Linked DNA regions of Drosophila melanogaster. The protein of the gene in region 1 purifies or fractionates together with the protein of each later gene. This does not show direct contact. Each region holds a gene or a part of one and is shown in the gene's direction. Other genes may lie near its edges.

Region 1 (5,824 bases):
AGCATGTTGTAGTACAGTTCCTGCTTGCGCTTCAGGAAATCCTCCTTCTTTCGCTCCTTGGTCTTGTTGCTCTTAAGGATCTGCTCCAGCTGTCTGTTTTTGGGAATGAGATGAGATGATTAGATCGCGTTAGCAACTGATGCAAGCGCTGCACTTACTCCGTGGTAATGGCTTTGTATTTGCCCAGCATGCGCTTGATCCGCTTGGCCCGCAGCTTCGGATCGTATACATCCTTGAACTGCTCGTAGTTGTCGATGAGCGTGTGCAACTTGGGCTTGGACAGGGCCACGTCGTAGGGCTTTACCTTGGGCGGCAGTGTCGGCTGGTAGGCCATGCGCCGCACATACAACTCCAGCTTGTCCAGTTCCTCCTCCCGCCGCTTCTTTACGTTCTCCTCTGCGCACACATCCGGATCCTCCTCCTCGGGCAGCGACTCCGTCGACGTGGGCATCGGCTCATCCCAATCCGAGACATTGGAGCTGGCCATGGCTGAAGAGTACTACACGGAACTGAACTAAACGAAACGAAACGGAACGGCTCGTCTCGGCTTGGTAAATTTGTACGTATTGGAAATTTAGCTTTGAACTTGGTTACTTATAAACACAAAATAATGTTTCGAAATCTTTTTTGTGTACGAAAAATTTGGGTAAACGGGAGCACTAACAATTTTATGTATTCACGCTGCGATAGTGGATCACCTTATGAGCAGTCCCAGTTGAAATGTGAGCGAGGTAAAACCAAAGGACTACTTGATAGTCAGAAAAGTTCTACATGTTTTCAAAGAAATGGAACATTAATTGTATGGCAACAAGATTAAGGAATTCCAATGACTCACACCACTAACAAGCAAAAGAGCACTGCATATGTGGTTTACAATTAAATAAGCAACGTTTTATTATATGTAATGTAATGTAATGTATGAATATTAACCAGTGGATCTATGGATCTAAAGCTAGTAACACTCGTTCTGCACGGATCGCTCCAGGGCGAAGGTGTACTCCTCGGCCAGCTCGTCCACGGACAATTGGCGCGTTAGTAGCGCCAATATGCTGTCCACCTGCATTTGGGTGCTGGTGTAGCGATCCTTGTTGGCCAATCCGGGTGCCAGCTCGAATGGAATGTCCTGCAAGTAATTGACGGGTCCTTGGGCTCCGGGCTGCTTCACTTGATCGCTGCGCGGTCCTGGCATCGGCGGATAGGGCAGATAGCCCGCTGGCGGCATAGGTGGATACATGGAGCCGGCTGGAACACCCGGATGAGGAGCATCCGGTACTGGTTTGCGCTCTATGAACACGAAATCATCGACACTGGTGCCTGGACGGGTTGCCTCCGCCGGTCCCTGGATGGGCTGGTCATCCGTGGGCGTTTCCGCGGGCTTGCGTTTGCCAAATATCGAAAACATTGCACTATTTTGTTCTATTGTTTGGTAAAATCAACTGGCAAATTGCGTCGTCCGCCAGCTGTGATGCTCTTTTAGCGGGCGTTGGTCCAAAACAGCGAGTGCTAGCTAGTGGTGTGCCCAAAAGATGTAAACATATAGGTGTCTATAGTGAGGTCTGAGCGAAATATGAGAATTTTGGGTATTTAATTTTTAACTATTTGTTTGCTTGGGTATTTTTCGGTTACGAATGTGTATACCCAATATAAACTTTATTAATTGCAAGTAGTTAGATTTGGAGTGAAATGCAGTCTGCACTGAATTTCCGTTAATCGCCTATCGGTGGGCGCGCAGTGTGGCCATTCGCTCGTCGGATGCGCAGGGCTGGACAACCGACACTGCGCCCGCCTCCGTCGCCAAGTGAAGTCGCTCCGAGATTGATTGTGTACACCGGATAAGAGGAGCGAGCGAAAAAGATGTCAAAATTGGACCAGGACCCGAACGCCTCACTGAGCATCATGGAGGTGAGTGTGCCGCCGGGACGCCATTCAGAGCTTCAGTGTGTCCACTGCCCGGAGCTCCAATTCCAATCGGCGGTGGCTACTCTAGAGCTGCCACATTAACGCATTCACAACTGTCTCCATTTCCCACATTTAACATAACTTTACTACTTCGCGCAGCAAATCAAGCAGCTCATCCGCCCGCCGCCCAACGAGGACGAGAAGATGATGCAGCGGTCCACCAACACGAAGCATCCGTACTACAGGCGCCCGGGCAGGGGCCACAACCACGACTATTGTGACGCCTGCGAGGAGGGCGGCAATCTGCTGTGCTGCGATCGATGCCCCTCCAGCTTCCACCTGCAATGCCAGTGAGTATATACACGCGCATATAGCTGCTCATTTTGAGTGCTGATTTCGTGCTTTCGCCACAGTGATCCACCGTTGAGCGAGGAGGACATACCCAGTGGCCAGTGGCTGTGCCACAGCTGTCGCATGAGCAAGCTCTCCCAGCCGCCGGCCTCCTCATCCAAGGCCAGTTCCGTGGAGCGTGTGCCTTCGGCGGGCAGTGGCTCACGGGCGAATACTCCATCGTCTGGCGATCTGGAGTCCATACCGCTGAAGATCCGCAACCTGCGCAAACGCAGCAACAGCGAACGCAATAGCACCGAGAAGCTGCTGGCCAAAATGCCGATGTCCATACAGCGCGCCCTCGATCCGAACAAGAAGCCAACGCCGCTGGACGATGTCATCAGGGCGGCCACCATGATGAATCCGCAGCAATTCTCGCTGCCGCCGGAGCTCGAGCTGCACACCCAGTTCCCGGGCAATGGCAAGGTGCAACCCGTACAGCAGACGCATCCGCCGAGCGGAAATGGCGGTAATCGCAGATGCGCCGGCAATCAGCGACGCAACTCCAAGCCGTTTGAGCTGGATGCCCAGGGACTGGTGCCGCTGCCCGCCAAAACCTGTTTCTACTGCACGCGCTCCTGCAAACGGGCGCCGCTCATCTCCTGCGACTACTGTCCGCTCTACTTTCACCAGGATTGCCTGGATCCGCCACTGACGGCACTGCCAGCTGGATTGTGGATGTGCCCCAATCATGCCGAGAATTTTATCGTAAGTCAGCCAACGCACATGGAGGTCTGCTTGGGTTCTAATGAGGATGTCTGTTCACAGGATGCCAATATGACCAATAGCATTTCGGCCACGGAGCGGGTGCGTCTCTGGAATCGCTTCCACCAGCCACTTGACCATGAAAATGTCAAGCTTGAGTTCTTCCGGCGTGTCAACACGCGCAATCCGCCCTTTCGCACCAAGAGAAATCTGCGTGCTCGCGCCCACATCGAGGTGCCAGCCATTGTGCGCTACCACTACGATCATCCGCCGCCGCTGTTGCCCTCCATGCGCCAAACGTTGCGCTACGATCGGGTAAAGCGGCGCAATAACCTGCCCACCGAAGTCGAGGAGATATCCCGTGAGTCGGTCACCGAATCGCTGCTCAAGGATCTGGAGGCCTTGCGCACGGCTCACGCCAAATTCCGTGAGATTCAGAGGGAATTCGGAACCTTGGAGACGGCCATAGATGGCGATAGCGACAGCGATCCCAGTCCTGAAGAGAAAAGGACCGAGACGAACACTCCCGCCGATAAAGTGAATGGCGAAGTGGATACGGAGAATCCCAATACAGAATCGAATGCGCAGGCCAGCGAACAGCCGTCGGTTGTCAAGGTGGAGTCCAAGACCAGCCTAGAGGTGGAGGCTAGCTTCGAGGAGGACGAGGAGGACAGCAAGAAATCAACGGGTATTATCGATGCAGACCTCTTACACCTGGACGTCGATATAATCAAGAAGCTGGCGCACCAGCGTCTGCAGCAGCTGGTCGAAGAGCATCCGGAGATTGTGACACAGTACAAGAATCGCACGGCCGCTCGTCGCCTGCGTCAACTGGCGTCAGTCGATGGCACACATGTGGCTGGCGAAACTGCTGCCCTGCAAGGCCAACTGGCGCCGGAGGATATGAACCGTTTCTCGCTGCTCTTCACCAGCGAAACGTCCTCAATTCTGGCGCAAAAGAATGGCAATGCCGCCGACGAAGATCCCGCAACGGCCCTGCATCCGGCACTGGCCACAGCGGCGGCCATTGCAGCAGCAGATGCCGCTGCCGAAAGCTATGCGCCGCGTGCCCGTAGCGACACGGAGAAGGCATACGAGCTGGCATCGCGCCTGGAGCTCAAGCTGCTGCAGTGCAAAGTGCAGGCGCGTGCGGTGATAACGCCACTGGGCGACATGCTCGAGGATAGCCGCTGGTTCAGTTCGCTGGGGCTGGACCATTCGATTTTCATGCGCTACCGCACGCTGTACATTGGCTACGGTGGACACTATTCGCCATCGACGACGCTGGCGCAAACGGAGACCGTGGACCTGTCGGCCATTGGTTACTGTTGTCGCATTTCACCGCAGCACGCCATCATCTTCTACGACGAATTCTCCAAGTCGTACGAGCTGATCAATTACTCAGAGTTTGGCACCGAGGTGAATGGACAGCTGTATGCCTGCGACGTGACCGAAAGGATGACAACGCACGCCGGCAAGCCGATGCGACCTGACGATGCGGAGCTGAAGAAGCGCGTCGATGAGATGCTGGACAAGCGTCGGAACATTAATCGCCAGTTCGAGACGAAGAAAATCGACAAAGAACGGTAGCTATAGTTTATTTGCCCAACTTACCCAATGATGATGATAACCACTTGTTGATTTAATCTCCCCGCAGATTGGCGCCCATTGTTAAGCCCGCCTGCCGCTGCATGAACGCCGGACCAGTGCCCATGGTGGATGGCGCCTGGGAGGGATCGGCGGTGCTGGCTCACGGCAGCCTGCTGCGATTCGGTTGCCTGTCGTTTGTGTTTGTCGTGCCGTCGGTGGATCTGCTGCAGGCGCAGGCGCGCAGCAAGCGTTCGTAGAACCAGTACCCAGACTCCATCAGCAGAAGCAGCAGCCTTTAGTTTAAGCATTAAGACACAGAAACATATACGCGCTCAACCGCAGCCAACTCCAGTGGAGCAGCACCAATCTCAGTGGGGCAGCTAGCAGCCAGGCATAGGGTTAGGGTTAGCAGATACCAGTTCAACTTCATCGCATCAATCATCGCAATGCAAAGCCTCGGCAGTACTTTTAAATCACACAATCCTCCAATCCCATCCAGCATTAAGGGTATATATTTGCCTTATGACCAGTGCAATAAATACGGAGTACAAACCACGGATGTGCACGGCTGCAGGCTGATCCATGCCAGTGGGCAGTGGATCTCTGGTATCAAACGCCGTATTTATTGAATTAACCATTACGTTCATAAATCGCATAAACCCGCATCGCATACTTTACTTTTATTGTAAAAACAGATGTATAAATTGCTAAAACGAAATAAACTTGTAAGATCAGAGATTTTTTCACATGCAAATGGATCGATGGAGCCACCAATTAGCAGTAAGCCCCGCCCAATAAGTGCACATGACTTTTAGTTTCTTTTGAAATGAATGTGTTTACTTTATAACCAGATCAAATCCAACTGGTTAAGGCATTATAGAGAACGAGAAGAGTATACACAATAGGTGCCAGGCGGCGGGACGCCTTGACTTTGTGGAGTACACGAAACGTCGGATAAGTACATTCGGTATGGCTAATATGCAAAAAATATATATGTATATATTTGTAATTGTAAAGATCTAAGACTACGCATGCACCGCGTCCAGGTGCCGGCTGCCATCCTAGAGTGCGGCCGCAGGACCCGGCTGAGCCTGTGCCTGTGACGGGTTGGTGTGCTGCATCTGCTCCTGGACGCCAGCCTTGGCCGCCGAGCGCGTGGCTCGCGATCTCTCCCATTCCGCTTTGTGCTTGCGCTTAGTGTGATGGTACATATTCGACTTGGAGCGGAATTCCGTGGGAC
Region 2 (4,903 bases), on another chromosome or scaffold:
CGTTGAACACTTTTACACATATTTAGTTGTAACTTTTTCAAGCCTTCATCATTATATTATTAAAACTTGAGTGTTAAACTGTATGTTTAAATATACTATGTTATCATTTCAATAAGTATTGAATTAGTAAACAACACTGAAGCCGTTGTGTTCAATCGTGTAAGCCTATTCCCAAATTTATAATCGTTATTTTAATTTAAAAACCTTTTAATTGCTCTTAATTTTGATCCAACACGCATTTTGGCTCACCGGTAAATTTGTGTATAATCTTTTACATAAAGAAGAGGGTTCTCTAATCCTTAAATGGATTTATAGTTTTGATGAGAATTAATACTAAAGTTAAATATTTTATAGTAAAGTTTTCCATTTACTGTGTTGTCAATTTTTTAGGACAAACAAACAATAAATAACAAAAAGTTTTTATCACATTAAATATCATGTGACTCAAGAGAGTTAAAAACATCTGATAATTTGCAGAACACGTACGAATATCAAACTAATTAGTTTTTTTTATAGAAATGGGTCCGTGTGACAGGAACCTCTTTACCACATTTCAGATATCACTTGATCAGCGTCAGTTAATATTTCCTAGTGCCGCATTCCATGACAGATCTGAAATTAGCACAGGAATAATTAGAACATGCTAGACCACCTGGCTTTATTATCAATAGAAAAAAGCATCAATAATACCCAATGGGAGGGCAAACAAACCTTCCTGCGGCGCCTGGAAGTCGGAGAGTTTGGTTTGTGCCATTTTTTTGTTTGGTCCAGGGACTTTGGTGCACCTCGGACATGCGCTGCACCCAGTAGCTAGTTAGTTGCATGTGAACTTTGAACTTTCGAGCTGGAAAGTGGAAGGCGGATTTGCATTTCCTATCGCTGCAGGTGTCTCACAAAGAGAGAGGCTCTCTCGTATCCTCCGCCCCCGCTGCATTTTTTTCATTGCGCAATGAGCGAGACGAATCGATAACTGCAAGGTTTCCATGTTTTAGCAGCTCAACTTTTGCGCGTATACAGATTTTTTGTCTGTATTATTTTATTTTGTGAAGGAGCTGGCCGCCGAATTCAGTTCGATTCGAGATGGGAACATGTGTTTTTATGGTTCCGCCATTGTCATGGTGAGATGCACTTGCTTTTTTTTGTCTTCATATTTTTACTTCCTCTCTCCGCACGCACGCGTCTGTGTGTGAGTGCGCTGGCGAGTGAGGTGGTGGAGGAGTACATGAGTGTGTAAAGTGTAGCCGTGGCAGAGTTGTAGCTCGCTAGTGGTCCGTTTGGTTTCTGATTTTCGGTTTCGTCGATTTCACATATGTACTGCAATGGTCGGCTAAAACGCTCTGCCGACGTCGCTATCTGCTGTATACTCGTTGCGCTTGTGTGGGTGCGCTGCTCTCACACCCGCTCTCTCTCTTTGGCTCAAACAGGGTGTCTTACCCAGATGTTCTGATCATCGTTTCCACCACATGGCTGGGTGACAATGGTACACCCTGTTTTCTAAACAACTTGTTTTCTCTCTTCCCAGCGTTGTTGTTGGTCCTCGCACTTACGTAAGCCTCACGTATTTCGTTTCTTATCCAAATTCTAAGCGCCATTTTGCGACTATTTGCATGCGGTACCGCTCACCGCTAATAAAAATAACCACTGATTGTGATTATTTGCTAATAGGTAATGAATGGTATATAAACTATTTTTGCCGTCAGCTACTGATGTGTTTTCAACGCGCTCGACGGAGGATTTTAGTTGTTGCGCCGTTGAGTTGCCACCCTGTTTTAGCTGCGGCAGCAGAATAAAATGAATTCCAAAGCAACACTGCGCGCGCGCTCTCACGCTCTCCGTTTTACACTCATTTCGCTCTCTCTGCTGACTCCAAATGACTGGCCGTCGCGTTTCGCTGTTTTAATCGAAAATGTTTGCGGCGGCGTTGAGATGTACGAAAACGTTCTCTCGCCAAAAATTTGTGAATAGAATAGCAGTAGCAATCTATCGAGAAGAAAATGTCTTAAATTCGAGCCGTGTGATCTAGTTAAGGTCTTAGAGCCAAGTGCAAATTGATTGAAATAAGCGTTAAACTTAAACTGAACTGGAGAACGAAGCCCCAGCTACTGAAAGAAAAGAAAACGGTGAAAATAAAGATTTCGGTGTGCCAGTGAGTGCGAATATAGTAGTTGCATGTGCAAAATACTGCGTAAAACGTGAAAGTTTCCAATAACACCACAAAACCAACGGCAGTTTTGTAGTAAATATACATACGCGCCCCGTACATATATACATACATTTCGAATATACATACACACAGCCGAATATCAACCGACGAAGCTAACTGCTTATTGCTGATGTAAGTGTAATATGGGCGGTGGGCGGTTGTGGGGGGCGTGAAAATTGCAGAGTAGCATTATCCTTCAAGTGCACTTGGAGTGCGGATTCGAGTTCAAACAATATTTTCGTTCGTGCCACTGAAAACTTGTGAAAATACAACATTTTTAGGTTAGGTCAATTTCAATTGGTTTATATACACACGCACGCACAAACTCACACACACACAAACAACAATGGCATAGCGAATACATATAGAAGGCGCACAGACAAAAAGTCGTCGACGGGGACGTGGTTGTTGTTTGTGTTGCTGCTGCTGCTGCCTCTACAGTTTCTGCTCTCCTCACACACAGTTGAACACAGTTGTGGAGAGGAGAGCCACACTCATACATACGCTTTGAACCATTGCTTTTGGTTCGCTTATGAACTGACTGTATTTTTTCAACGTAGTGTCGTTTTATTTTCGTTGTTGATTCGTTCTTTGCTCAGTTCGTGCGCTTATCTTGACTTTTGCTTTGATGCGCCATTCGCATGTACTGGCGAGAGCAGCCTAGTGTGAGTGTGCATTTAAATGGCTCCCCAATGAGAGCATCATTTTGTGGCCCTCTTTTTGTTCAGATCTTCCTTTTGCTCCTCTTCTTCATGCTCCCCAGCCCATCCGTCGTTTGTTGTTCTTGCTCCGCCTGTTTTTTTTCATTCGGTTTTGAATTTACACAAAACGTTTGCCGTTGCTTCTTCATGCTGAAATAGTATATATGTATGTGAATATATTGTACATATTTCTCTACACATCCATATGTTTTATTTGCAAAATTTATTAATAGCGCAGCGCCACTCCGCGGCTGTGTTAGTGCGCCAGAGTGAGAAAGTAACAGTAAAAAACTAAATATTAATTCGCGTTGATTCCGATTCGTATTGCAGTTGTTCAAAACCGAGTGCTAGTGATATTTGCAAAAAATTTAACATATTTTCCGCTGGCTGCCTTTTGTGTTGCGTATTCTGCTGTGCTGTGTATACACATAACAAAACAGATAAGATAACATTATACGTGTGCACGTAATAGAGCGGGCTGAATCAAAAAAAAAAAAAAAGAAAAAATGGAGGGAAAATTTGCCCACATGTCTCCCCAAAGCACACACACGCACACAACGCCCCAATTTGGAGCCTCTCTCGTCAAACACTCACACACACCAGCAAGCGAGTAAATGTGTTTGGTATGCACTAATGGCGGATCCAAAAATACAATAACAACAAAGACAGTTGGGAGAGCTCAAAAGAGCGAACTTGTTTTACCTTCATTTATTAAAGGATAGTTGGTGGTGGCAGAGACAGGAGAGAGAACGAGGGCTAAAGCTTTTGTGCGGCTGTACTGTGCTCCAATATTTGTTTACAAATGCTAAAAGGGGGCAGCTGTTGGTTCGATGGGGTGTTTCAATTAGTTGGAGCAGGATGATCCTCTAGGCGGTTTCCATTCACCTAATATTTGCTCGCGGTCTTTGGTTTGCGCAGCGTTGCGCTCTCTTCATTTTTGCCGCTCTCTCTCTCGAATGCCCGCCAAATGCTTGCTGTGTCCGTGTGTGAGTTTGGCCCCAAACGGGTGAAATACCTTTTTGAAAAAAAAAAAATCATCCATATACTGCGCCTCAACAACAAATGCGGCTCTCTCTGGTTCTCTCTGTGGCTGCACCACCACCACCGTATCGCCACCACCACCTTTGCATTGTTGCGTTTGCTGCTGCTGTTACCTCTGACTCTTCTTCTTCTTATTCTTGTAAGTTGTAGATACAGAACATGTACCAGCAGCTCTCACACACCACCCGCCCGCCCCCTTGGCGGTATCGATATATAAATATTTTCTATGTGTGCGTCTGAATTCTATGCAAGCCGATGTCGTGCATGGGGCATTTGGCACCTTCCACATTCACAAATACTGATATGTACACACATACACACACACTCGGAGGTGTACACAGAAAGCTCGCTTAGGAAGTTTTTACTGTACCGCTGAAAGCAATAACAAAGCGCGCGCCCAATTCCGGTTGAACGTACACACACTAAAGTGAATTACGCGCTCCTCCTTATGCCTTGCACTCACTCTCCTCCAAGACTCAACTTCCACTCCACGATCTCCTTCCCGTCTATATGTATCAATCTCTGGTTGCTGTTGTTGTTATTGGTCACAGCTCCACTGCTTCATTCCATTCCTATTGTCCCTCATCTCACTCTTCTCCCCCGAATCCAGAACACCCAATACAGAGACACCGTTCTCCACTCTGTAGTTTTTGTGATACGGCTAAAAGAAGAATTCCCCCGTGGCTTTTTAGTTCACCTTTTTTCTTGTTGAAATATGCAATCGTTCCGATATCTGTGAAGATATAGACCGAATTGATCAATCAGCTGTGCTATACTAGCTAACATGTTTTGGGAAAATTAGCAAGACTCGTGGTCTTTAATATATGGAAAAGTATATTTGGCATATTTGTCCTTTCATTTCAGTGTCAGTGAATAAATTCTAGTATTAATGTGTAAGATTGTTCCAGTAATGCAGAATTTAATGATGACTAACTTCATTAAAAATAGACCCAAACCT
Region 3 (7,772 bases), on another chromosome or scaffold:
CCATTTAAATGTTTTCTATAAGCAAGATCCTAAACCAGATATTGATATTCAGCCCGCAGATCTTTAAATGCTCGTCAAATTGCCTCATTGTCGGCGCTTTCGGAGACGCACCAGATGCTGCAGAAGTCCTGCCGGGACTTTGCCAACAATGAGCTCAGTGGAAACGCAGCCAAGTTCGATCGGGAGCACCTGTATCCAGAGAAACAGATCCGCCAGATGGGCGAACTGGGCGTGATGGCAGTAGCGATTCCCGAGGAGCTGGGTAATTAATATTACGCCCACCTCAGCCCTCCTTATAGTATCTCATTGTATCTCTTTATTGTTAATCAGGCGGCACTGGACTGGATTATGTGGCCTACGCCATTGCCATGGAGGAAATCTCAAGGGGCTGTGCCTCTGCTGGCGTCATCATGTCGGTGAACAACTCCCTGTATCTGGGACCGCTTCTCTCTTTCGGAAACGATGCCCAGAAGAAGGACTACATCACACCGTTTACCACCGGCGAACGAGTGGGCTGCTTCGCGCTCTCTGAACCTGGAAACGGATCCGATGCTGGAGCTGCTTCCACCATAGCAACCGACAAGGGAGATCACTTCGTGCTGAATGGCACCAAGGCCTGGATCACAAATGCCTTCGAGGCGGAGGCAGCCATTGTGTTCGCCACCACCAACAAGCAGCTGAAGCACAAGGGCATCTCCGCATTCATTGTGCCCAAGGCTACCAAGGGCTTCTCGCTGGGCAAAAAGGAGGATAAGCTGGGCATCCGGGGATCTTCGACGTGCCAGCTAATTTTCGAGGACTGCGTGGTGCCCAAGGAGAACATGCTGGGCGAGCCGGGTTTCGGTTTCAAGATTGCCATGCAGACGCTGGACGCCGGCCGCATAGGAATCGCTGGCCAGGCGCTGGGCATTGGTCAGGCTGCCCTCGAATTGGCCGTGGACTACGCCCAGAAGCGACAGGCCTTCGGCAAGCCCATTGCCAAGCTCCAGTCCATCCAGCAAAAGATCGCGGACATGTCGTTGGCCATGGAGTCGGCACGTCTGCTCACCTGGCGCGCCGCCTGGCTGAAGGACCAAAAGCAGCCCTACACCAAAGAAGCTGCAATGGCCAAGCTGGCTGCCTCGGAGGCGGCCACCTTGTGCTCCCACCAGTGTATCCAGATCCTGGGCGGAATGGGCTACGTGACCGACATGGCGGCCGAGCGTCATTACAGGGACGCCCGCATCACTGAGATCTACGAGGGCACCTCCGAAATCCAGCGACTGGTGATCGCGGGCTCCATTCTAAAGGAATATGCTAGTTAAGATCAAAGTTATATATCCGTACTACTTGTGTCTCGTTTAATAAAGAACGTTTTTAATATACTATTTTGCTAGTTCTATTGAGTTGTATAATTGTTTATAATAGATAGAAATACATGAAAAAAACACCTACAACATTTTAATTCTTTAGAAAAAGTTAGCAAAACAATAAATCTTCGTTCAAAAAGTAAAGTAAAATAAGTGAAACTCTTGACTACTTTTTAGACGTTGCATATTTGTAAATTAATTAAAATAATGAACCTTAAGTGCTTTTAAAATATATTTATAAACAAAGCTTATTATTTTATATGCCTAATTATATTATATCTTTTAAACCAAATTTTAAATGACTCAAAAAAATGGGAACTTGGCGCCAAAACTGCAGCAAGGCTTTGTCGGTTAGCATATTTGTGTGGTATTTTTGTGACTTCATTCGGTATATTGCTGGTAGCTGTGCAGCGGTCACACAGCAAAAGCAAAAAGTTTCTTTATTTATTTGATAATTATTCGTTACGCGGTAATTAACGCGATGCAAGTGCAGCAGGAACGTGGTAATGAGAGTTTTTGCCACTGAGCTGCGCGTGTCGGCCGTCCAGAAAGTGCAGAAATCGCGTGAAGTGCGCGAAATCCGTCCAAGAGCAGAAAAGTGCCAAGAATAGCTGCGATGGAAACAGCGATGGATGTGGTGTGTGTAATGGATACGGCGGTGGGCGACCATCTGGAGGACCGCCAGTGTGCGCTGGAGGAGATCAAGCAGGCAGTGCAGTCGGCGGGCGCCAACTTTCAGCGGGTTCAGGTGCGCCAGCTTGGTTATACAATGGCATATGGGTGATTTGACTTACATCCCCCCCACTTGGCATCCTTGCAGTTCGAGCGCCTGGACTTCGGCGAGACGAATGTGCTGGAGACGTTTTACAACGCCGATGTGGCCATTATCGACCTGAGCATTCTCACCCAGCAGCGGCCGCTTTCCTATCACTACGGCGTTAGGGAGAGCTTCGGGATGAAGGAGAACATCCTCACCTACAACGACATCGATTCCAAGCAGACGCTCAGTCTCAAGGTGCGTTCGGAAGTGTTTACCTGGCCGGGCGTGCCTGGCAAACATCTGCGTTCGTGATCGGGAATCCGCTTCCGATAAGATAAATGCTATGACCAGCAACTGCGTGGACTCCTGGACTAGTTGTTCTTGCTGATCTTTCTACAGTCGAGCTTCCACAACGCGAACTGAGTTTATAACAAGTCTCTAACCTAGGTGCTTAGACACCTCTTTCTGGAAAATGACTAAAAATTATTCTATCTACTAGTCTTCCTTTAGCAAATTGCAAAAGAAACCGAAAAACTTCCTCTTTCCAGAGGTTAATAACTAAAACCTCTTTCCCATATGGCAGCCAATAATTTGAACTATGGAAGTTCGACTGTATTTCCGTCGAATCGTTTTCGTTATTTTTGTTTTGGCTGCGGCCATAAAGCAACAAAAGCATTGGCCCAGCAATAACAATAACAAATGCGAGCACGCCCACGCAAACACTCAAAGAGGCACGCACACACTAACAGCACGGTGTACACCAACGCAGCGTGGCCTGCATTCACAGTGGCGGTCATTAAATTAGGTACACTCTACTCCCCTTGCAGCTCTCGTGTGCCAACTACCTGTTTCTCAGCTACAAGCGGAATGCGGAGACCAATTCCTGCCACCTGACCAGCCAGCCCAACAGCGGCAACAACAGCAAGGAACCCAATGCCGAAGGACGAGTGCCCACTTTGCAGTGGCGCCTCAAGCGAAAGCTGCAAGATGTTGAGATCCAGTCGAAGTGAGTACAATCTAGGGAGTCCCCTTTTGCAGTAAGTCATGCACGGTGATTGCATATCGGAACACTATTTATAACATCCCCTGCGGCAGATTGGCTGCAAAAGTCACGCCCTGCATCTAAAATGAATCAGACCGATTTATTGTGTTGGCCTTGGAATTGCATATAAAATATCAATAATCGCTGAAAATTCTTAAGTCTCTTTATAGTATCATAATTGTCCTTTCAATTTAAATTACTTCGAACTTTAGTGATACTACTACGGGTTAACAAGTAATGAAATGAAAGTAATTGAAATCTTAAATTTGGTGTACCAGATAGATGCTAAGTTAATTAGTCTTTCAGCCAGAGCACGAAACACTGTTCCTATTATGCATTATTTGTGTACCTAAAAACTAAACGAAGCTATTTTCGGTTATTTACAGAGCCCACATGCGTGAGAAATTTCTGAGTGACATGCGAACGGCGCGGGACACGTACGCCACCAACGGCGCCAAGCTGCAGAGTATATTGCACGAGATGCGAAAGCGGCTGGACGATCCGCATGTCCTGTCTGGCGAAGTGGTACACAGTTTCATGTGCTCGCTGAGGGATGTGCAGGACTACGATGCCATGGTGCGACTGGTCAATGACCTGAAGAACATACCCAACACCCGGAAGTACGTGGAGACGGGCAACATGAGTTTCCTGTACGCCTTCGCCCTGAACCGAAGAAATCGAAAGGGAGACCGTGAAAAGGCTCTGGAATCTTCGCTGAAGGCGCTGGAAAAGAAGGAGAACCACTTTCCGGACATGCTCTGCCTGTGCGGCCGCATCTACAAGGACATCTTTGTGGAATCCGACTACACGGACGCCACCAGTTTGGCGCACGCCATCAAGTGGTACCGCCAAAGCTTTGAGGTGCAGCCGAATGAGTATGCAGGCATCAATCTGGCTACTCTGCTGGTTATCGAGGGCAAGGAGTTTACCAATACGGAGGAGTTGCAGCACATCGGCATGACCTTAAACAATTTAATCGGTAAAAAGGGCAGCCTATCCTCGCTGAGTGAGTATTGGGATGTGGCCACCTTCTTTGAGATCTCCGTTTTGGCCAACGACTACGCCAAGGCGATTCAAGCTGCCGAGTGCATGTTCAAGCTAAAGCCACCCAACTGGTATCTGAAGTCGACCATCGGAAATATCTCTCTTATACATCGATTTCGAAAGAAGCCCGAGGAACGCCAGCCGCCCATCGAGGAGCAGGTGTTCCAGTTCTGGATGGACTTCTTTCTGGAGGCCACCAACACCGAGGAGGTTAAGAACAGCATTCGCTTTCCGATTCTGGTTGGTACCCCTGATCTGCAGTTTAAGCTTTATTATTAACTCAAAACAAATTCCAGATCCTCGAGCCTCAGAAGATTTATATGCCCAGTTATGTGACTATAAACATGGATGCGGATGAGAAGTCCATTCAGATTGTGAACATCTGTTTGGCTCACGCAAAGAATGCGTGTAAGAAAATCCACGACTTCCTTTTCGTGGCATCGAAGATCAAGTCCGTCAGCCTTTACAAGAGGGATGATCGTTGTGCCTACTTGTACGTCCATCACAACTCAGATGATTTTCAAATATATTTTCCCTCCACTGAACGACGACAAAAGTTCTACGATATGATCCTGGAGATGACTGCAGATCAGGTGGTGTTTGTCAATCTCAGCAATGATGACGCTAATATCGAGGTAAGTTATTTATTATTCATATATACATATATTCCGGCCACTTTTGCTAATTATTATTAATTGTAGTACGAGTACGACTACGATGAGCAGAATCGCAAAATGGTGCTGGGCAAAGGTACTTATGGCACCGTGTACGCCGCCAGGGACAAGCAGACGCAGGTGCGAATCGCCATTAAGGAGGTGCCGGAAAAGAACTCGCAGGATGTGCAGCCACTGCACGAGGAGATTAAGTTACACTCTCAGCTGCGACATCGCAACATAGTTCGCTATTTGGGATCGTGCTCGGAGAACGGCTTCTTCAAGATCTTCATGGAGCAGGTGCCGGGAGGATCGCTTTCCGACCTCTTAGAGACCAAATGGGGTCCGCTCAAGGACAACGAGTCCACCATGGCCTTCTACTCCAAGCAGATCCTCGAGGGGCTGAAGTACCTTCACGAGCAGGACATTGTTCATCGCGATATAAAGGGTGACAACGTGCTGGTTAACACGTATAGCGGCGTGGTTAAGATCTCCGATTTCGGCACCTCCAAGCGGCTGGCCCGCATCAACCCGATGACGGAGACCTTTACGGGCACCTTGCAGTACATGGCGCCGGAGGTGATTGACCAGGGAGTACGCGGCTATGGCCCGGCGGCTGACATCTGGTCCTTTGGATGCACAAACGTTGAGATGGCTACGGGCAAACCACCGTTTATCGAGCTGGGTAGCGCCCATGCGGCCATGTTCAAGGTGGGCTTTTACAAGAAGCATCCGAACATACCCGAGGAGCTGTCCGCCAACGCAAAGAACTTTATTTTGCGTTGCTTTGCCATCAGCGTGATGGACCGACCCTCCGCCTCGCAACTTCTGGAAGATCCCTTCCTACAAGAGTGAGTTTGCTTAATTGTTTTGCCTAATTCCTTTCTAATTGCACTTTTAATTTTCTCAATAAGTAAACCCCGCAAGGTGCGCCCAGCCCTGCCCATCAATACTGAGTTCGGACGCAGCATTTCGGTGCCGGCTGATCGGTTTGTGCACAAAACCACACCGCCGCTGAGCTACAACACAACCTGCAATACGCCCACAACGCCGGAATTGGAGTAAGTTAAACGCTGCGACTATTCTTATCATGTTCGACCTTCCTCAATTACAAGCAGAGGTTATCTTATCTGTTGAAAATTATCATTTATATTTTGCTAATTTTAATGAATATAAAAATTTTTCCGTGCTTCTCTATATTTTCCCATATCGTCTACTATTATAAGAGTAACAAGTGCCTTTGCTTATCGTGTAGTTAACACATTGATTGTTGCTATCAGTAAAGTGCATATTTAATGATTGGAAAATGCGCACTCGGATTTTGATACTGAGAAGAGATAGCACTTGATGTATTGTAAAATAAACGTAATTTTATATTGTACTTTCTGTTTCCTATTTCAGCATAACGCATTCATCCTCGGTGGACATTGACGAGCTGCCCAGCAACCAGTTTATGCTTGAACGGCGAAATTCCCATGGATTTTTGCTCTCGCCAGAGATTGAACCTTCCACGCCGTCCTTGCGTACGAGCATTAGTGAGACGAGCGAGACTGACGGTTTTTACAGGCTTAAAAAGGATTCGCAGAGGCGGACAACGCTTTCCAAGGTGCTGGCACTAGACGAATCCAAGATCTGCGATATTTGGCTGAAGAAGGTCGACGCTGATCAGAACTCGATTGCGATTAGGAAAAGCGATTTGGAGGTTCTAATCCGAGGACTGCGGGACTACATTATGAACGAAAACGAAAAGCATTTGGAAGCGACTATCAACGAACTGAAACAAAAGCTGAACAACGACGCAGTTGCTCTGGACCATCTTCATTTGGCGCTGTACTCCTTTCAGGACGCCGTGGTCTGCGTACTGCGGTACCATTGCATCAAACCCCATTGGATGTTCGCATTGGATAATCTGGTTAAGCGGGCCGTCCAGGCGGCGGTCACTATTTTCTCTCCTGAACTGGGCGCCAATCTGGCGGACAAAGACCTGTCTGGAAATGATGATGAGAGCTTGCGTACAAGTCTAATGCAGAAGGGTTCCACCGAGAGCCAGGAAAAGCAGAGCCTGGAAAAAGTTCTTCCCACGAGCAACACTCGCGAAGGTGTGGGATTAACGCCTGCGGAATCGGGCGGGGATGCTCTGTCCAGTTCGATGGAGTGCGCGCGCATCCTGAGAGACATCCGTGACAATCAGCAGAAGCTGCAACGCCAGCTCCTTGAGCAGCAGCGGCAGAGCATGAGGGCCCTGCATAATATCAGTCAGGAGCTGGCTCACATTTACATGGGCGGCAGAAAGAGATTAAGGTTGGTAAACCAAGTAGGACATTGTAAATTTTATTATAATTCACAATTTCATCTTAACAGACGCACAATAAACGGCTTTAACAAAAAGTGCCATAGAATGAGTACCAGTGTGGGCGGAACGTCCGGAGTCCGTCCGAATATAGCGGGCAATCCCCGGAGGCAGCTAAACAAGCATCACTTTGGTCTTCACGAAGTAGACGAGCAGTTGGAGCAGTGGTTGACCCAGCAGGAAATAGACGAGTTCTCAAAGACGCTCATCCTGAATGAAGGTTTTACATTTGACGACTTTATCTATAACATGGAAAAGCTGGACCTCATGAGGCTGGGTCTGCGGTGCGTTAAAGCTTATAAGAAAAGTACACTTAATCCATGCTCAACTAACTTTTGGTATTTTGCAGCGTTGGCATCGAAGTGCGTTTGTGGAAACTCATTATACAAGAACGTGTGTGCACCTCGTCCGATTGTGTGGACAGTCCACCAAGCACTTACCACAAACCCATTGGAGGCAATAGCTCTTTTGCGCTTATTGACAACAACAATACGCTACCATCACCCACAACCACAACTCCCGGAACGCCGGGCATCAAAACGAAAATCAAGAAAAGCGAAAGCGAGTACGATTC
Region 4 (5,019 bases), 4.3 Mb from region 1:
AAGTTTTCTTTTTATCCACCTATCGCCGATTGCTCTTTGCTCACTTCGCCTATCGCTGCTTCTTCTTTGCTGCGTGGCGTTTTCGTTTTGTCGGCCATTACGTTTTCCAATTGCCTTTGGCGCAGCCACACACAACACAAAACACACAAAGCGTGTGTGTGCGGCTGCCAATGTAGATGTACATGTTGATGTGCGCCCGCAAAGAAAAATCGTTTTCTAGGTGGAATTATTCAAGTGGGCGTCGTGCGAAAGTATTTCCGTGGCGAAAACTAGTTTAAGAATCGCGAGATTCACCCAATCTTAGTCAGGATCAAAGGAGAAAGGTAAGAAAGACGCCAGGGCGGGCAAGCAACTAGGATAATCGATCGCAATGGCCTTGGTTACTAGTTGGTGATGTCAGTGGCGACGGAAATGGAAGTCCTGGCCACGCACTTGACCCAGTTCGGGAAAATCGCTTTTCTAGTCCCTCCAGAAGCGGCCGAATGGAAAGCGGGCGGAAGAACCATGCATAAAGCTATTGATTTTCCCTCATTTCCCAAGCAATTAAGGCCTTTGCCTTTAACCCAGTTACACGTACATATATCCATATGTACATAAGAACATACAAATGTCGGCATCTACATAATCGCAATGGTCCTTGGGCGGGTGCGAAAGTGGATAAACGGGAGAACCCTTGAGAGCGGGTGGGAGTTGGGCTAAGGACGTCGCCTGACACTTGCAGGATTCAGATTCAGATCTAGCCGCCTGCCGCCCTCCCTTTCGGGAAATGGAAGCTTGTGAAACGTGCAACAACCTACGCCACAGCATCACAAGTTGAGGAAAACCAGGGAAAATCCGCAGGAAAACCGAAAAGGAGTAGGGCAAGTCTGGCGCTCGGTGGTGGCGCTCGCTTCTTCCCAATTACCACCCCCGAATCAACGACATGTTATTTTGCCGAGTCCTTTTTTTGCTTTTTACCGACGCAGAAAAAAAGACGCATCAGCAGCACCAACAACAACAGCCGACGTCGCGGCGAAAAGAGCGAACAAACATTTGCCAAAAACAACACGTACACCGGACGAAAACGCACGTCGACCTGTTCACTTCCCTACAAAAACAGAGTTGCGAAACATCCCAAGTGGTAACGTCAATCCTTTTGTTGCAATGAGTGCAAAACAATTTTTAAAACAATTGTATTTATTGACTATTTTACTTATTTTTATTATTATTTTTTAAGTGCATTGTCAGTTGGAATTTCAATGTTCCCATTATTTATAGAAGTTGACCCAGCAAATGTTTCAATTTACGCGCGATTATGCTTTTTAATATGACTGACATAAATCAAATCTGTATAAATGCAAGATATGAAAATTATTAATTTCAAAAGCATTCCCAAGGGAAAAGTAAAAAATTAAAAGTTTAATTAGTCAGGACAAAGCTATCCGAATGCAACTTCTTTGAACTCATGATGGCGACGAGGAATACATCCTGGCGACGGCAGGACAGGCAGCCCTCCCCGCCGCCCACAAGCAGGGTTGCATGCACGCCAAGCCAAATCCGAAAGCAAATCGGGGCCGATAGTGCATAATATCGTGCGGCGAAGAGCGAGACGAAGAGTCGTGGCGAGTTGTGGCGAATTGAGGTTTTGCGCCGTCGGGCCGAGCGTCGCTCTTTTGCTCTTCATCTTGGCTCGTTATTTCGCTTCGCACCGTGTTTGCGTTCACAACTCTTGTTCGGGTTCTGCATTTTATTTTATTATTATTTTTTTTTGTTTGTTGCTATTCGGTGAGTACCTGCGGAAAAGTAAGGCAAGGCGATGAATGAAAGGAACAAAAAGGAAAAGAAAACGAAATGAAAAGCCATGCAAAGGGTTTTCCTCGTCAACTCGCTTGTTTGTGTTTTGTGTGCAAAGTGCCTGGTGAAAAGATGTACTCGCCGTACTGCCAAATGAGAAAACGGCAGGCGTTCGTTTATTAATGCTCGCGTTCGTATTTTTGCGAAAACCTGGTGAAAAAGAAATTTTCTGTGCTCGCTACTGCCTGTGAGTGTGTGTGAGTGAGTGTGCGTGTGCCTGTGCGCTGCTCGTGTCTGTGTGCGCTCGCTTTGGGTGTGCATGTACGTCACTGCCACCCATTTTTGTGTGCTGTTCTGGTTCTTCGTCCCGTCTCGTGTCGCCTCGCTGTTCCCTCCTAGCCGTCCCTTGCGGTTTTTGCTGCAACTCTGCGGAAACTCTCCACGAATTCCCCCCTTGCCTAGCGCACGAAGAGGATGGCAGCTCTGCCAATTCTTTGGTAACTTTTCCGCCTAGTGAAAACTGCTGCCAGTTTCCGTTCGCTTCAGGTACTCCGCTTCTTCCGTTCCGTCCAACTGACTGTCTGCCCGTGTTTACAATCGCGGCGTTTTTGCACACTGTGCCGTGCGTCTGTGTGAGTTCTACTTGGTGGTATATCTGTGTACATGTACACACATCGATACGACAGCGGAGTCTTCATTTTGTTATTGCCATTCTCTTTCACTTCCTTTTCGCCTGCTTTGTTGCTGTCGTCGCTGTGACAGTTATGCTAGTTGTTAGTGTGCGTGTCGTGTCCGTGTGAGTTTTCCGCGTTTCTTCGCCGGTGCGAACTGCAATCTGAAATCTCGCACTCGCGCTAAAATGGCGCATGTCAGAATCGAAATTAAAATCATAAGCCAAAAGCTACTCTGATCGTCAGGCCACGAAGAAGCGGAGAAAGAAGATGAAGAAGGAGGACCAGCAAGCGGCAACAGCAGAAGCAGGATACCTAACCAATTTGAGGATTATTCAACATCTCATCGACTCTTCAGCTTCTCTTCTCAGCCTTGCCCAGTTGCTGCTTCTTCCGACTCTGCTCTTCTCTCCTCTACACGCCACTCGTCTCCTCTGCTCTTTTCTCGTTTTGCTTTCCTCGCATTCTCGCAGCTCCCAGCTGCTGCCAAAACTTGTTTTCAGCAGCGATAGAAAAGAGGGGCAATGGAGCTGGACAGTGGCTGGCAAGGAGAAGAGGGGGTTTCTGGAAACCGCAAAAGCATGTTTAATGTTCTAGTCGCGTTACTGGACTCCGAATCGGAATCGAGTGAACGGATCGGATCGGATTGTCCTGGGGATTGAATGAGCTAAAAGGGGCTAAGAGAGCGGCTTACTTTCGGCCAGGTGAAAGCCAGGGCCATAAAACTAAGTTTACCACATTACCGCTTAGGATTTCGCTTCGGCTCAGATTAGCTGTTATACTGAAGTTTGGAGATTAAAGTCCTTTGATAATATTCTTTTAGTTGGATTGAATCGACTTAATAGTTGATTAGTTTGGAGAAAACACAACAATGTTGAGTTACAACTAAAAATTTGATTTATCTAAGTGAGCATATACATTATGACTTAGCAATCCAAAGGCTTATCAAAGTTTTCAATGCTTATCAGGGATTTTACAGGTGGGATGGGATTTCCATTCACTTAACAAGTTTGAATTTAGAAGATAACGAAAATATTTTGGTCTTCCAGAACGATTTTATAAGAGCATTATAATTAAAGTTGAAAGGATGCAAAAGAAACCCAGAATGGCGTTTCTTTTTGTTTTTTAAATCTAGTGCAGAATTTAACCTACTTCTGGGTTGAGCTGTTTTTGCTTTGCCAATTAGAACGTTATTCCCACATGGCGGATTAGTAATACGACTTAGTAACTTTCTTTTTCCCCTTCTTCGCGTCCTTGCAGATATTCTTCACATCACAGTCAACCAATGGGACCAAATCACTGCGACTCGAACTGGACACAATCAGCATCGGATCGCAGGGAACAACAGGAGGTGGTGGAGCAGCAGCGCCAGAAGGCGTCGGGGGAGCGGCCATCATAGGAGCAGCAACGTCGGCAGCAGCTGCCCAGGGCCCCTCGAGAATGTCTAGCCGGAAGGTGCCAGGAGGCTCTGGAGGAGCTGACGAATCCACAGCAGCAGCTGCCCCCCTGGATGATAATGCCAATGCCAGTGTGGAGATTCCAGACAGCAGCGAGGAGCCAGCAATGGGCGTCGGCGAAGAGATGTCTATCATAAGCAAAACACGCACCTCAACTTTGTCAGTGGAGCCCGCTAAGGAGCCAACAGTAACAGCAGAGCTGGAAGGCGAAAAAGAGCTGGAATCGAATCCAGTCTCCAAAACTCCTAGGTCCACGCCTACGCCAACCCTTACGCCAGCCGTCACGCCTACCGCCAGTGATGGAGTGGCGGCCAAGAGCGTGAGGGTTACCCGGCACTCGTCGCCACTGCTTCTGATCATCTCGCCCACGACAAGTAGACGTGAGGTCGGCGACGGAGAGCTAGACACCGAGGAACCAACGGGATCGGGTGGCCAAAGAAAGAGCTCCGTGGAGCGATCTTTGGCGCCCGTTATACGCGGACGAAAGTCCATCAAGGATCTGAAAGAAGCCAAAGAAGTCAAGTCCGAGGAGCCGCCTGCCGCAGCATCAGAGTCACGAGCTGCAAGTGGAGTGACGCCTGGCCAGGTCAAGGAACAGCATGTCGCGGATGGCAACGAAATGGAATCCTTGCCAATCACAGACAAGAAAGACCACAAAGACACAAAAGACAAGGGAGATGAGCGGGAAACCGATCAGGAGGAAGAGAAGGAAAAATCAGCTGATACAGAAATAATTGCAGATACAGAAAAAACTTCGGAGAAACAAAAGTATACAGAGAAGGACAAAGCTGCCGATAAAGATGGAGGAAAAGAAAAAGATATTGATGCAAATAAGGATATAGATAAGGAGAAGGAAAAGGTCAAGGAAGTACTTCCGCCAGTGGTGCCTATAGCACCAGTGACACCCACTTGTAACCGTGTCACACGTAAATCACATGCCCAGGAGCAGGCGATTAACACGCGGGTCACTCGCAATCGTCGCCAGTCCTCTACAGTTGGAGCCAACTCCACCGCGTCTTTGGTAGCTGCATCCTCCTCAGTAACAGAGCAACCCCCTCCATCTCGCGGTCGACGGAAGAAGCCAGTGGTGGTGGCTCCTCCCTTGGAGCCTGCGGTAA

Evidence for each region.
Region 2: the proteins of CG3815 (region 1) and Sin3A purify together in Drosophila melanogaster (affinity purification with mass spectrometry; 2 studies listed by BioGRID, with this or other methods). This does not show direct contact.
Region 3: the proteins of CG3815 (region 1) and Ask1 purify together in Drosophila melanogaster (affinity purification with mass spectrometry, with the first as the bait; one study listed by BioGRID). This does not show direct contact.
Region 4: the proteins of CG3815 (region 1) and east purify together in Drosophila melanogaster (affinity purification with mass spectrometry, with the first as the bait; one study listed by BioGRID). This does not show direct contact.

Annotation. Positions count from the first base shown.
Region 1 is NC_004354.4:6,293,652-6,299,475, forward strand, and holds CG3815 (uncharacterized protein), read left to right. Parts: upstream 1-1,737; 5' UTR 1,738-1,854; coding exon 1,855-1,902; intron 1,903-2,058; coding exon 2,059-2,249; intron 2,250-2,312; coding exon 2,313-2,997; intron 2,998-3,057; coding exon 3,058-4,580; intron 4,581-4,651; coding exon 4,652-4,841; 3' UTR 4,842-5,319; downstream 5,320-5,824. Other genes in the region: CG15892 (uncharacterized protein), read right to left, coding at 1-93, 159-487; CG15891 (uncharacterized protein), read right to left, coding at 953-1,402; CG12219 (uncharacterized protein), read right to left, coding at 5,646-5,824.
Region 2 is NT_033778.4:12,586,148-12,591,050, reverse strand, and holds the start of Sin3A (Sin3A), read left to right. Parts: upstream 1-1,898; 5' UTR 1,899-2,335; intron 2,336-4,903.
Region 3 is NT_033777.3:19,877,947-19,885,718, forward strand, and holds the start of Ask1 (apoptotic signal-regulating kinase 1), read left to right. Parts: upstream 1-1,772; 5' UTR 1,773-1,977; coding exon 1,978-2,097; intron 2,098-2,169; coding exon 2,170-2,364; exon of another isoform or gene 2,365-2,936; coding exon 2,937-3,115; intron 3,116-3,537; coding exon 3,538-4,435; intron 4,436-4,491; coding exon 4,492-4,830; intron 4,831-4,896; coding exon 4,897-5,699; intron 5,700-5,762; coding exon 5,763-5,909; intron 5,910-6,249; coding exon 6,250-7,149; intron 7,150-7,209; coding exon 7,210-7,482; intron 7,483-7,547; coding exon 7,548-7,772. Other genes in the region: Arc42 (Activator-recruited cofactor subunit 42), read left to right, coding at 53-262, 331-1,304.
Region 4 is NC_004354.4:2,010,638-2,015,656, forward strand, and holds the start of east (enhanced adult sensory threshold), read left to right. Parts: upstream 1-2,005; 5' UTR 2,006-2,020; intron 2,021-2,483; exon of another isoform or gene 2,484-3,148; intron 3,149-3,704; 5' UTR 3,705-3,884; coding exon 3,885-5,019.